2 linked regions of the Mytilus edulis genome follow. The protein of the gene in region 1 binds, or shares a complex with, the protein of each later gene. Links are inferred from orthologs where the notes say so. Each region holds a gene or a part of one and is shown in the gene's direction. Other genes may lie near its edges.

The links. Proteins that work in one complex are often made in the same cells at the same time.
Region 2: vacuolar protein sorting-associated protein 8 homolog (region 1) and transforming growth factor-beta receptor-associated protein 1-like share a complex: the UniProt entries of both Homo sapiens proteins name them as parts of the putative class C core vacuole/endosome tethering (CORVET) complex. The link is inferred for Mytilus edulis from reciprocal best matches to the Homo sapiens genes VPS8 and TGFBRAP1.

What each region holds. Positions count from the first base shown.
Region 1 is NC_092357.1:11,539,918-11,547,240, reverse strand, and holds the start of vacuolar protein sorting-associated protein 8 homolog, read left to right. Parts: upstream 1-4,293; 5' UTR 4,294-4,478; coding exon 4,479-4,538; intron 4,539-5,985; exon of another isoform or gene 5,986-6,011; coding exon of another isoform or gene 6,012-6,534; intron 6,535-7,323. Other genes in the region: uncharacterized protein, read left to right, coding at 6,012-6,534. UniProt on the Homo sapiens protein: Plays a role in vesicle-mediated protein trafficking of the endocytic membrane transport pathway.
Region 2 is NC_092350.1:13,596,081-13,602,929, forward strand, and holds the start of transforming growth factor-beta receptor-associated protein 1-like, read left to right. Parts: upstream 1-3,826; 5' UTR 3,827-3,959; coding exon 3,960-4,034; intron 4,035-6,849. UniProt on the Homo sapiens protein: Plays a role in the TGF-beta/activin signaling pathway. It associates with inactive heteromeric TGF-beta and activin receptor complexes, mainly through the type II receptor, and is released upon activation of signaling.

The sequences.
Region 1 (7,323 bases):
ATTGCTTGGTGATTAATTAGTTGATCGATTGCTTGGTGATTAATTGTTTGATTAATAGCTTGGTGATTAATTAATTGATTGCTTGCTTGGTGATTAATTAATTGATTAATAGCTTGGTGATTAATTAATTAATCCATTGCTTGGGGATTAATTAATTAATCGATTGCTTGGTGATTGATTAATTGATCGATTGCTTGGTGATTCATTAATTGATCAATTGCTTGGTGATTCATTAATTGATCGATTGCTTGGTGATTAATTAATTGATTGATAGCTTGGTTATTAATTAATTGATTGATAGCTTGTTGATTAATTACAACACTATTGAGTATGTTGTGATGGCAAGATTTATTAGTTGGAGGATGTCTGAACACAAAGAGAGAACCACCATTATCTTTGACAGAAAACAAGCAACTGTAGTCAATTCAAATAGGATAGAATTAAAATGCACAATTTAGTTGATAAAGAAGATGAACCACTTGACCAACATACACCCAATTTACAATCAAAGAATTCAATAAGTTGGTAAAGGTGTTAGTCTGACATGTCTGAAGGTAACTTGAAAGTTTAATTTGCCACACATCATGCAGATTGTTTTTTTTACATTTTAAATTGTTTAAGAAACTAGTTATGTAGCATTTATTTCATTTAGACTTAAAATAACATGCAATAAAATTTTTGGTACAGAAAAATATTTCACAAAACTTTTATAGTTAAGAAATAATTCATGGGGGCTTACATATTGTGATTTTACCACAAGTTGGCCCTTTATGACAAATATCTGCATAAAGGGACAACCTGTGATATATTCAAGCCCCATGAATTATTTCTATTCTAATACGACAAATACAGCAACTGCTTTGGATCAAAGCTCTCTAGGTGAAGGCATTATATGCCGTTCCTTTAAATAAACGCACTATTAATTTGATGTAAAAGAACAGAGAAAACTGAATAAGTGATATGATGTAACTATTCACAATAACATATTTAGATAGTTTAAGATGAATCTAAATCATGTGAATGATAATTGTCATGATTGTACTTATATGTCTTTTATGTATACAAAAAATGGCTTAAATAATACATTTTAGCATCGTTTATTTACATTTCCTTGTTGTGATGATTTTCGGGTTTAAAAGCGTGTAATTTCCCGTAAAATGCTTATATTCTGACGTCATCTTTCTATGATGTCGGTTAGCTCATTCATAAAAAGGCAAATGACGTGGGAGTAAGATCGGAACAGCCCAAACAATAATATATTCATATTTTACCACTTAGACGCTGGTGTGTACTCAAAGCGTTTGAAGGACGTCATGTTCAGAAGGTATTTGTTATGCAGTCTGCACCGTTAGCCACTAAACCGATGCCCCAGACTAGTAAATATAGTTTCGGACTAGTGAAAATTTTCAAAATGTTAAATAGTCATATAGGGAAAAGTTTTGATATTTAGTATCCAGACTAGTAGATGAAAAAGTTTTTGGCGCAGACTGGTTATGCCGAAATAACTACTTCAATTGCCAAGTTGACTATCACTGGTGCTGGGGTAACTAGAATTCATAAATATAGAAGGGTTGTAATGAAGTAGCCTCATAACGAATAACCTTAAAAATTCTTGCTATTTGACGTTAACAGTAATTTTTGGTGCATGAACATAATTTATTTTCTTTGGTTACATCTTCTGACATCAGACTCGGATTTCTCTTGAACTGAATTTTAATGTGCGTATTGTTATGCGTTTACTTTACTTCATTGGTTAGAGGTATAGGGGGGAGGGTTGAGATCTCACAAACATGTTTAACCCTGCCGCATTTTGTGCCTGTCCCAAGTCAGGAGCCTCTGGCCTTTGTTAGTCTTGTATTATTTTAATTTTAGTTTCTTGTGTACAATTTGGAAATTAGTATGGCGTTCATTATCACTGGACTAGTATATATTTGTTTAGGGGCCAGCTGAAGGATGCCTCCGGGTGCGGGAATTTCTTGCTACATTGAAGACCTGTTGGTGACCCTCTGCTGTTGTTTTTTATTTGGTCGGGTTGTTGTCTCTTTGACACATTCCCCATTTTCATTCTCAATTTTATAAACATGAAAAAATGTACACCGAATGCATGTCGTTTCGTAACCTGGTCGTTTCGTACTTGGTCAATTCGTAACTCGTTAATTTGTAACTGAGACGTTTCGTACCTGGTGTAATTATATATGGTTATAAAGTGTTAGTTAAAATTAATAAGTTTAAATGAAGCACTTAAAGTTATTATTTATAAATGACAATTAAAATGATCAAATTGTTAATCTAATAAAACAATATTGTAATCATGGTAATGGTTTTTTAATTTAAAACTATCTTAAATTAAAAAGAAAAAAAAGTCACTAATAGTAAATAAGCTTGTGATGCATGTCATTTCTTAACCTCACTGGGTCGATTCGAAATTTAAGCTTGTGATCGGTCACAGTTTCATCCGAAGATTGGAAAATTGGATGTTAAGAACGCAATCTGACTTATCAAGTTCTGTCGAAACAAAGCTTCACAAGGTATATATCGCATGTACAATGGTGTAGGCGGGAGAAAAGTAAAGTCATTGCGACATTTTGGTCTCCAAATAGTGAAGAAATTTAAACCAGACTTTTACTTGAAAAACTGTACTTGTAAAGTGTAAAATTATGTGCAATCAATTATTTAATAAATAAATATAGATATATATATATGCACCATGATGTGTACATCAATAGGTCTTTTTATCATTTTTTTAAGTAACCTACCACTCATACTATTATTTTATCTTGATATAAGGTTACAAAACATATCAGGTACGAAACAACCTAGTAAGTTACGAATCGACTAGTTACGAAAGGACCAGGTTACAAAAACGACATGTACCCATTTTCCCAAAACAACGGTAATGAAAATTTAATATTTGAGACCTCTGATAAATCACGATAAGGATATTTTGACGAATTGCAATGAAATCTTGACCCATTTGAGGCTAACGACTAACAGAAGCTTAATATAACCTCGGGGGGGCCACTTGCTATATAATTAGTGGTAGGGATGAGCCGCTGGAATAGGTCACTTTTTCATGCTCTATGATATATATGAAAAGGGTGGGAAATTCAGATGAAATATATCAATAGGTTGATATTATCACTTGCTTGATTATATCATAAGTATCTGAAACTAATCAGATGTCCGTATTTATTCTTGATGCGGTTAAACCACAGTCGTAAATGCATCAGTTATTTGTCAAACCAATTAAACTCTATTTATTCTGATGTGGTATTTCCACTGATGCCCGTGATAGATGCAATAAATCCAACTATTTTGACATTTGCACCTAATTATCATTCAAGGGTTTGTATACATAAAACAAAATAACAATTATTTAAAGAAATTCCATTGTGACAGCGTCCTTTACGAGGGAACGGCAATGAAACTTTTTATCAGTTTTTAATTAATATTTAAACATGTAAAAATCAGTGAAGGTGTTACACTCTGGGGTGATATTACATTTATCTGACCATAGATGTAATACCAGGCAGATCTATGATCTGACCAAACGTCTTTTACATGTATTGTATTTTGGAATTGAGATATCTTCATAATGAAAGATGTAAAATGGCCGGGCAATAAGAAAAAAGTGTTTAAGATATGACGAATTTATTGGAAAAGAAGGTGATTTTATTGCAACTATTTTGCTTCCTAAGAAGAACGTGATGATGAGCGGTGAAAATATTGAAATATATCTATAGGTCTGTTTTTGGTAAATTAATATATGACAAGGTATATATTTTTTATTAACAAAATATATGAAAAGGGTGGGGTACTTGATGTCTCAGCTGCTCACCCCTACCAAAAAAAGTTTGAAGTGGCCCCCCCGAGAATATAACCATTGACGACTGACGGTACCCTTGTATCTATATATAGGTGCTGTGACAGTGTGAGTCACTGAGTGTTTTCAAAATTAGTTCTTCCTAATCGGCCAATGAACATATCCCAATCACTTATTCTTCAGGCAGAAACAAAACAAAAGGGACCAGTCCAAAACAGATAAATTTTGATTTTTAAACATTAAATCATTACCTTGATTCTAAATAATGTATCTGTATGCAACTTATGGTAAAAAAAAACACGGACAATATATATTGACATATTTGTAAGGACCTAATTATAAGTATGTTCCCATGAAAAACATATCGGAAGAGATATTCGAGGAAGGGGAGAGAAACAAAATGCAACATTTTTTCCAAATCAAATATTCGTTTAATACTATTGCCACGATCTCTTGTAGATCGTGTGCCGTGTGGCCGTGTATTTGTAAAATGTAAGATCAGATGATAATTACCTAAACACGTTGGTGTTTTAGCTGTCTGTTTCAAAATTTAAAATACTGTGATAATTCATTATGTGCGGAAGTGTGTCCGGGGAAGTTTCAATTTTTCCATCTTTCTACTACTTCCGGCTTTCAGATTCTCCTCCCAAAAGTTATGGACTCGGGTAGCTCAGAAAAATCTAGTCCTTCAGCACCAATAAATTTTGATATTGAGGTAATATATGGCACATGCTATGTGTGATATAGTCACGTATTATAGTGTGAAGTCTTCACAAGTAGGTCTTAATATTTAAGTAGATATAGGAAGATGTGGCATGAGCAACTTTTTTAATCATCTATAATATTAAAAATGCATATTTTATCGTCATGCACCAAAAATGACTGTAAACATCATTTGGCAAGAATTTTCACCGTTATTCGTTATGAAAGTATATTGTACACCCAATACCATCATTACTACTCTCTTATAGATATTTCCATTTGTACTTGCTACACTGCATGGTATTGACGAGTCATAGAAAAACTCCCAAATGCCATTACAACAATCAATTGAACTTTCATCAGTTCAATAGTGGATCCATACTATAAATCAAAGTGACAGGCATGACAGACTCAGTAGTTTATTTCTGAGGATGAAAATATTGTAAATATTAAAAAGAGGATGTGGTATGATTGCCAATGAGACAACTCTCCACAAGAGACTAAATAACTAAGAAATTAATAACAATAGGTCACTGTACGGCCTGTCCAAATGTAAAACAATTCAAAAGAGAAAACTAAGGGCCTAATTTATGAACGAAAAAAATAGTATGTAACACATTAACAGTCAGGGGACTTACTTAAATGAGTGATTTTCTAAATCACTGATTCAAGTAACATTAATTCCATCAATGTTGGAAGTAAGGTTGTCTTTCTTTAATAATCACCTATTTAAGTAGTACAAATTAATCACTTGAAGAAGTGATTTAATTCTATCGTAGCTTTAAATATAGAATACTAACATGACTAATGATCCAGGGACTAATTATGTTTCTAAAATTATCAGAAACAACATCTGTGTTGATAGGATGACCAAGTCATTTCAGGTGATGACCTTGTACTGAATCTAGGATAATGACATAAAAATCACTTGTTTAAGTATCATACCTCAATTTCCTTCCCAAAAGTCACTTCTTTAAGTTTTATTATTTTAATAACCCCCACTAATTTCAACACCCCCGAGCAGTGAATTTTTTATCGCGAACAGAAGAATTTTATTACATAATCTGAAAGATGAAACCTTGAACTTTACAGGAAAAATACTCCCACTGCTGGGAAAAATCTGTGAAGAAAGTATCAGTTCATTTAGTAAAGCCATTATTACTGCATTTTTTTCAACTAAAATAGAATTTACAGCAAACAGATAGCATTTTAAAAAGGCATAAACCTTGCTACTTAACGAGGCCCGATCTAGAACGCGTTTTTGAATATTGCGCAACTCGGGCATTTTTCGGTAGTTGGTTTAACGGTTATAACATAACACATAAAATAAATATAAACAATACCTTTTCTGATTATTTTAGGAACTAAAATGATAAAATAAATCAATTTTTGATCGTAGTTTATATTTTATTTAAATTTATACTGTTATTATTGTTTACGACATAGTTTCGCGCCATTTACGGCAATGTAAACTATATCAGACGACATGCCTAGCAGAAAGAAGAACGGTCGGTTTTTGAAAAACTGTCAGGCAGAGACTTACAACAACAGATTAGACAACATATCTAGACCCGATTTATCCACAACTGATTTTGATACACCATCTACACTCGATTTTGATACTACTTTTACACCCGATTTTGATACTACTTTTACGCCCGATTTTGATACATCTTTTACACCAGGTTCTTTCCAACATGATCACACGTATCAATCCTCTGCATCGTTTGATGAGATCAATGAGTTCTATTTTTCTGGAAAATTAAAGCCAATAGGTTATACCAGACATGTGATTGACATTCAAACCTTTTTTGATAATATGAGATGTTCCAGATGTGACATTACATTGAAGTTAAAAGATGGAATTGGAATTTTGCCTGCTGGTTTATGTGGTCACCTGATTGTTCGTTGTTATAACTGTAATGACTTTGTACGTGTTGCCATGGGCAAAACCCACAATGCATCCCATGGGCCAAGGATATTTGATGTCAACACCAAACTTGCAACTGGTAAGTGCAAAAATAAAATCTGCACACCCTGTATATTTATACTTTATATTCACATGTAGCATGTTTACCTAGTACCAATTCCTGGACTGCAAATAATTATGATGTCTTGCGAGTGCTGCCTTGTAGTAGCATTAGCCTACTCTTTTTCGAAATCTACAAGGGTGTCTTTAACGTGCAAGAGGAATCCATGACAAGTCGCCCCACTCCTAATCGCCCCACTTTTTCACCAACTCGCCCCACTTTAAAAAAAAAACGCCCCAACCTGGATTACCAAATCGCCCCACTTTTTAAAAAATCGCCCCACTTGTGAAATGTGTTAAATCCCGTTAATATTACTCCTGAAAACTTGCCCCACTGAATGGAAAACGATAAAATCTAGATTAATATATTATTAATATATTATTAACCAGGATGAATTTAGTAAAGCCAACTCGCCCCACTTATGGAAAAAGATGTTATCCTGTTGTATATGAGTTAAATTCCGTGAATATTACTCCTGCGAACTCGCCCCTCTTATGGAAAACGATAATATCTAGATTAATATATTATTAACCAGGATGAATGTAGTAATGCCAACTCGCCCCACTTATGGAAAAAGATGTTATTCCGTGAATATTACTCCTGCCAACTCGCCCCACTTAAAAGAAAATGATAATAATCTAGATTTATATTATATTATTAACCAGGATGAATGTAGTAATGCCAACTCGCCCCACTTATGGAAAAAGATGTTATCCCGTTGTATATAAGTTAAATTCCGTGAATATTACTCCTGCCAACTCGCCCCAC
Region 2 (6,849 bases), on another chromosome or scaffold:
ACATTGATAATTTCATAATTTTCCGAATTAAAATGTTTCAAACTTCCGAATTAAAATGTTTCAAACTTCCGAATTAAAATGTTTCAACTTCCAATTGTAAAGTTTCGAAGCCATTCCAAGTCAGTATTTCTTATAAATTAGCTTTAATGAGGATTTTTAGCTTAGCAATGAATATGACCTGGACCTCCTCGTTATTTTGATGTTCATTGAAAAATAGTAGAAATGTTTCTAAACTTCCTGTCGACAAACTGCGAAAAGTCCTGGCAATTACAGAATGCAGACTTGCTTCAAACATAAACCTGTTAACCCCATTTCATCTTGCTTGGGCATTACAATTACACCATGAGTTTGGCTCTAAATTTTTTATTGAAAATCCAAACTCTCATGGTTTTTGTGCATCCTATTGTGAAGTACATAGATATCGGACATGTTTAGCAAATTTGTTAAAAAACAGAATCCAATACATATTCTATGTACCTAATGGTATCAATCTATTTAGAAAAGGTGGTCGTAATATACAAGAGGGAGCAAAAAATATTGACTTAAATGCTGAAACAATCGATGGTAAAAATGAATTTCACTTCATGACTACAGTTGTATGTCAGTATCAAAACGAATCATTAAACGCCCACATGAGTTCCATAAAGGTCAAACGGGGACTAGAAAGATCTTTGACCTTGAATGATTCAAACACCAATCTGATGGCATGTTTAACTTTCGACAAGCCAACAGAACGGTATGGACCTTCTGTTTATTCTAATGTTTATGGGAAGATTGCGTCTTGTTTCATGGAAAACCGAAATATATCTGTCCTGTCTTTGGTATTATTTCCGAGACAAAACTTAGATTCGATTCCATTTTCTTCAGAAAGCACTGAACAAATTGTTTCATTTTGGACCGGTTCTTACAAAAGGCTTCATCTGAAATTTCGTCTGTAGCCTATGCTCCGGTTATAGATGCCAGGCCTAGCGACATGGCAATCATATTTACAACTATGAAACAATGTTTAGATATGTCAAAACGTGCTGGTCAACAATATGCTGTGCAAACATTTGACAATTGATTGTATGCTGTTGCTCAAATGTAACATAGTGTATACCAGACGTGTTCGAGGATTAACTTTGGTATATGAGGCAAACTCTCGTGGCTATTTTATTTAATTTAAAAGCATTCAAAGACGAAAATCGTGTAATTATCAACCTAATGTATTAAAGGCGTTCTTTGGCTGTCACAGTTCATTTGCTGAAACACCCAAAAGCGCTGAAGGTATTGAACAGTTTTTTTTTCGAATTTTAAAGAACATATGCTGCTATTGTTTGAAGAATTCAGAATACACTCTAGTAAACTATCTATCACCAACCTTCGAATTTTAGGATATAGTTCTTCGTGCAGTTGAAATATTGTTACAGAACCTTAGGGTTGAACGGAATGGGTTGGTGCTTTTACATTTGCAAATGGTTGCTGCAATGTTGCAATACTTTTTCATTACCATGACGAACTATGCTAGGTGGACACCGGCCTACATATTGGATATGTTGAATCTGTCTGAAACGGTAAAATCTGTCTTTATGTCAGGTGAGTTTTCAATCAGACATAAACATGGAGCGGATGTAACCCATGTCTTCTAAAGTCCGATGTCGTGGTCTCCTCTCAATACTTTTGATGATACGATTAAGACCTCAAAACTCAAGTGCAAATCAGGTGACTTTGTTAAGGCACATATCAAATCCTGTAAAATTAGTCCGTCGTGCTTTATAGTTCTTGCTATGTTCGTAGGATATTGGCATATACTTTTGGTCCAATACCTTCAGCTCTGTTCCATGATGATGGTATCATGCGGAAATGATGCTTTGAATCTTCCAATTTATGACAATAAATCAAAGGTACCAGCCTCATAATTTAATACACCAGACGCGCGTTTCGTCTACATTAGACTCATCAGTGACGCGCAGATCAAAATATGTAGAAAGCCACACAAGTATAAGTTTGTCACTTGAAGAGCATTGAGGACAAAAATTCAAAAAAGTTGTGCCAAATACGGCTAAAGTAGTCTATGCCTGGGATAAGAAAATCCTTAGTATTTCGAATAACTAATACTTTTGCAAACGGTTAATTATACAAGTGACCATATAATTGATATTAATGTCAACACCGAAGTGATGAATACTGGGCTAGTGATACTATCTTCAGATATGTTTTCAAACGGGAGATCAGGAATCGCCGTTAACATTTATCGCCTCATTGTATGATCCGAAGGGAAAGTTTAGGTTTCTTCATGATGATCTAAACAAGCTTTGGGTGGAGTTTGCCGCCACAAAGGATGCCAGTCTTGTGAAAATTCTCCCATGTAAAAACACGTGTTTACAGCACATCCCAAGTGTAATGGTTCAAACGCAAGTTTGAATGAATTCTCATATTGCTAAACCAGTGACTCATAACTTTCCAAAGACTCTGGTTGGTAAGAGGGTAAAAATGGTTTGCTCATGGTTTTCTTTGGAGGACCTTGTCAGTAGGTTTCCTTCAAGACCTTGTTTGTACGTATACGGACAAGGGAAAACATCTTGCATATAACAATTGTATATGCAACCAACAGAAATCCGCGTATACCAATATTTGTTCATGTGAATTTAGGGTCTGATGGTTGAAGAAATTATTTAACTCACCGAGCAATATTGGAAGAAGACGACGATGAAAACGATGACTGATGTCAGGTTTTCGAAAGTTGTCATGCGCCCTTTTTTGTTAAAATACCTCATACAATCACTCTTTCTAAGGGGTCCGTGTGTGCTTTTGTAAGGCAAAGGCACATAAAACCTAAAAAGTTCATAGAGATAGAATATTCGCTGAAACTTAAGTCCAATCATAAAACTCATTTGATTTAATTTATAAATTGCCTTGTGAAATATTTGTGACTGGCAATAAATATTAAATCAAAGCAAAAAAATAAATTGACTTCGGTTCTTTTTATAAAAGCCGTAAAATTCAGAAATATATCTTTAGAAGTACATGCGATGTAAAAATAAATGAATTGAGAGTCGGTTGTTCCATCTTCTATTTTCATATTGTTGCTAGTCTGAGTTTCCTTTAAAATGTGCATATGGTGGTTTCCGCATTATTTTCAAATCAAGTTGAAAATGTATTTCATTATGAATTTCTTGTTTAGAAACAATTTAAGTATTATTTGGAGGCGTTTAATAACCTCTTTCGAAATAAATTGACAATAGTGAAAAACTCAATCACTAACCTTTGACCTTATTAAAAAAAAAAGCACCCTATTTCAATTCTACAACCTCGCAAAAATTAAAGAATAAACATTTCTCTTTCCAAAAAGTCATAATTTAGCCTGCAGGTAGGGTGGTCCATTAAAGTTGAAAAATTGTTGGCTTGGTCACTCCACTAAGAGAAGAGTGGTTGAATCATAAACCGTTAAATAATTTAAATTCATGCTTAGTATGCAAATTTCTACTCGCTTTACCTTAAACAGTTTGAATACTTTAAATACGTGTGGTGGCGGTGTATATAAGTGTATAAAGAAGATGTTTTTAATCCAATAGTGAACATTCAATAATAAGGGATTCTACACTTCAAGAGGATTTTCCAACTGAAGTGGTTCATCTGGTAAAGGTGGAAAATACAGAATAGGTAACAGGTTGGTAAAAAAACCTGTGAAATATATGGATAGATTGAGAAATATAAATACTGAGATTACTGTATCTCAATGTTATTATAGGTCTTTTAGTCGAGCTTTTAATAGTCTCAGGGTAATGGAATATTTTTAAGGAAATAAAAACGCGCGAAAAATAGTTATGTACCCTTGATCTAAAGTGGGTGTTTTTTCCGGAAATTGTTGGTGGTGCTGCTATCCAATATGGCGCTGTCCATGAAAATTTTCCAGATTATCAGAATATACAATTTTACGATAACATTTGACATTTTAAGATAAAAACAAAACAAAAAAGATGAGTATAAAAGCTTTTGATTTGGTTCCTGCCATTGAGCGGATCAAATTGATGTCCGACAAAGCCAAAACACAGGTACAACTCCGATTTTCGCACTTTAGCCTACATTTTCATATTATTTTGCAGACGAAATTGTTCGAAATATTCTTTATTCTGAGCGTTTGTTTACAACCTCAGAATGCAGATATACATTTGACGGGTTCCAATAACAACAACCCTCTCAAAAAAAGGTCATGAATAATCATAATGTTGTTGGATGATAATTAATTTTATTAGCTCTTCGTTTTATTTACAATATAGATCAATATATATACTTGTCTTTAGTCCCCCAAACCTAAGTCAGGTATATTACAGTTGTGTTTAGTCTGGTGATTTTAATGTTGGCAGTGTCTGCACGGGTACGAATTAGTCAAATTGACGTTTGTAGGCAATGCATACCCATATCCGATTTTATAATAAAATGCCATTGGATCGGGAATAAAACATGAAATATATTGGAATTTGTCGCAATTAGTAAATAAATTGATTAAAACTACTCAGAAGTTTTATAAATATATAGGTAAGTGAAAAGTTTTTCTCAGATAATAAATATATTAAAAATGGAAGAGAGGGATATTCATGTCTGGAAGACATTTCAAAGTTATCATAAATTGAAACAATTTGTTCAAAACTATTAGTCAAGTTATTTTATACTATTGTATAAAAGAAACTCGAAGTTGTTTGAAGCTGCAGAGAAAAGAAGAACTGGAAACACAAAAATTAAAGAGGAATTAAAGTTTAACAGAATAAATTTTTCCTGTATTTACGGAGGCAAAACAATCCAAACAAATTCAACAGGAAAAAGGCCTGTTACATTTAAGTAAAACTAAAAGATTCTTTTAAGTAGCAAGGTTTATGCCTTTGATGCTATCATTTACCTGAAAATTCTATTTTAGTTGAAAAAATGCTATAATAATGGCTTTACATAATGAACTGATACTTTGTTAAAAGATTTTTCACAGCAGTGGGAGTATTTTTCCTGTGAAGTTCAAGGTTTCATCTTTCAGATTATGTAATAAAATTCTACTGTTCGCGATAAAAATTTCACTGTTCGGGGGTGTTGAAATTAGTGGGGGTTCTTAAAAAGAATGATACTTAAAGAAGTGATTTTTGGGAAGGAAATTGAGGTCTGATACTTAAACAAGTGATTTTTATGTCATTATCCTAGATTCAGTACAAGGTCATCACCTGAAATGACCTGGTCATCCTAGACAACACAGATGTTGGTTCTGATAAGTTAAGAAACATAATTAGTCCCTGGATCATTAGTATTCTATATTTAAAGCTACACTAATATTAAATCACTTCTTCTAGTGATTAATTTGTACTACTTAAATAGGTGATTATTAAAGAAAGACAACTCTAACTTCCAACCTTTATGGAAATAATGTTACTTGAATCAGTGATTTAGAAAATCACTTGTTTAAGTAAGTCCCCTGACTGTTGAAATAATTGTTAAAAAAACAAAATGAGTGACTCGACACATAAATGGCTTCATGGTGCCAAGAAATCTTTCTTTTGCATGATTAAAATTAAATAAATTATAATTTTTCCAGTATAATGACACATTTACTAAACTTGAATATGAATATATGTTTTAAAAAGTAAATATTTCAAGATATTTCTCTTATATTATATTCAAACAATTGTCAACAGATTATCTGTGACTTTTTGTCCTACCAAATTTGTGACTTTTATGTCTTGTGACTTTTTGTCCTGTGACTTTCCGTCCATTTACCGAAATAAGGTATCAGACGGATTTTAATGTTAAGCTAACGAAATAGGGTATCAGACCGAAATAAGGTATCTGACCGTCTTACTAAACAGAATCTGTACAGTCTGGTAGAGATCTGACCGCCTTACTAAACAGAATCTGTACAGTCTCGTAGAGATCTGACAGTCTTACTAAACAGAATCTGTACAGTCTGGTATCTGACCGTCTTACTAAACAGAATCTGTACAGTCTGGTATCTGACCGTCTTACTAAACAGAATCTGTACAGTCTGGTATCTGACCGTCTTACTAAACAAAATCTGTACAGTCTGAGATCTGACCGTCTTACTAAACAGAATCTGTACAGTCTGGTAGAGTCTGGAGGATATCTGACCGTCTTACTAAACAGAATTTGTACAGTCTGGTAGAGATCTGACCGCCTTACTAAACAGAATCTGTACAGTCTGGTAGAGTCTGGAGGATTTTCTAATATGAGGCAGGCATTACTTGTGAAAGGGGACGAAGTCTATAAATTAATTTTTTTAAATCAATATAAAAAAAGATATGGTATGATTGCTAATGGGACAACTCTCCACAAGAGACCAAAATGTCACGGAATACCGAATGTCCAATTTGTTATCTATAATAGTTCTTTATCATGTTTATAGTAAAATTTATTTTCCATACAAATATGTGTATTCAAAGTCTATGTCCAGTGTCACTAATTCCAGAGATCAGGGGAGGTCTGATGTTCAATGAATGTATATAAAAAACTCCAACATAACAGTTATCAATTGATTAATAGAGATTCTTATTACACATAAGTAACAAAATAGCATATTATAATTATAAATAAATCGGTGTTATCCCCAGATTTTCGATAGCACCAGGGACAAGGGTGAGCGAGATAACAAATTGGACAAAGTTTACATATAGTATCACAACACATTTACTCTATACTTCCTCCTTAAGGACAGTTGCTATATAATGTTCTTTTTTTTTTTACTTGAGATTGGTAATGTAGGATAATGCTTTAACAAATTATAAGCAAGAATGAATTATTGAATGTGAATGTAGAAAGTGCAAGGTCCATTCATGAAATAGTTCTATTCAGTTTCTTATATTATTATAAATAACT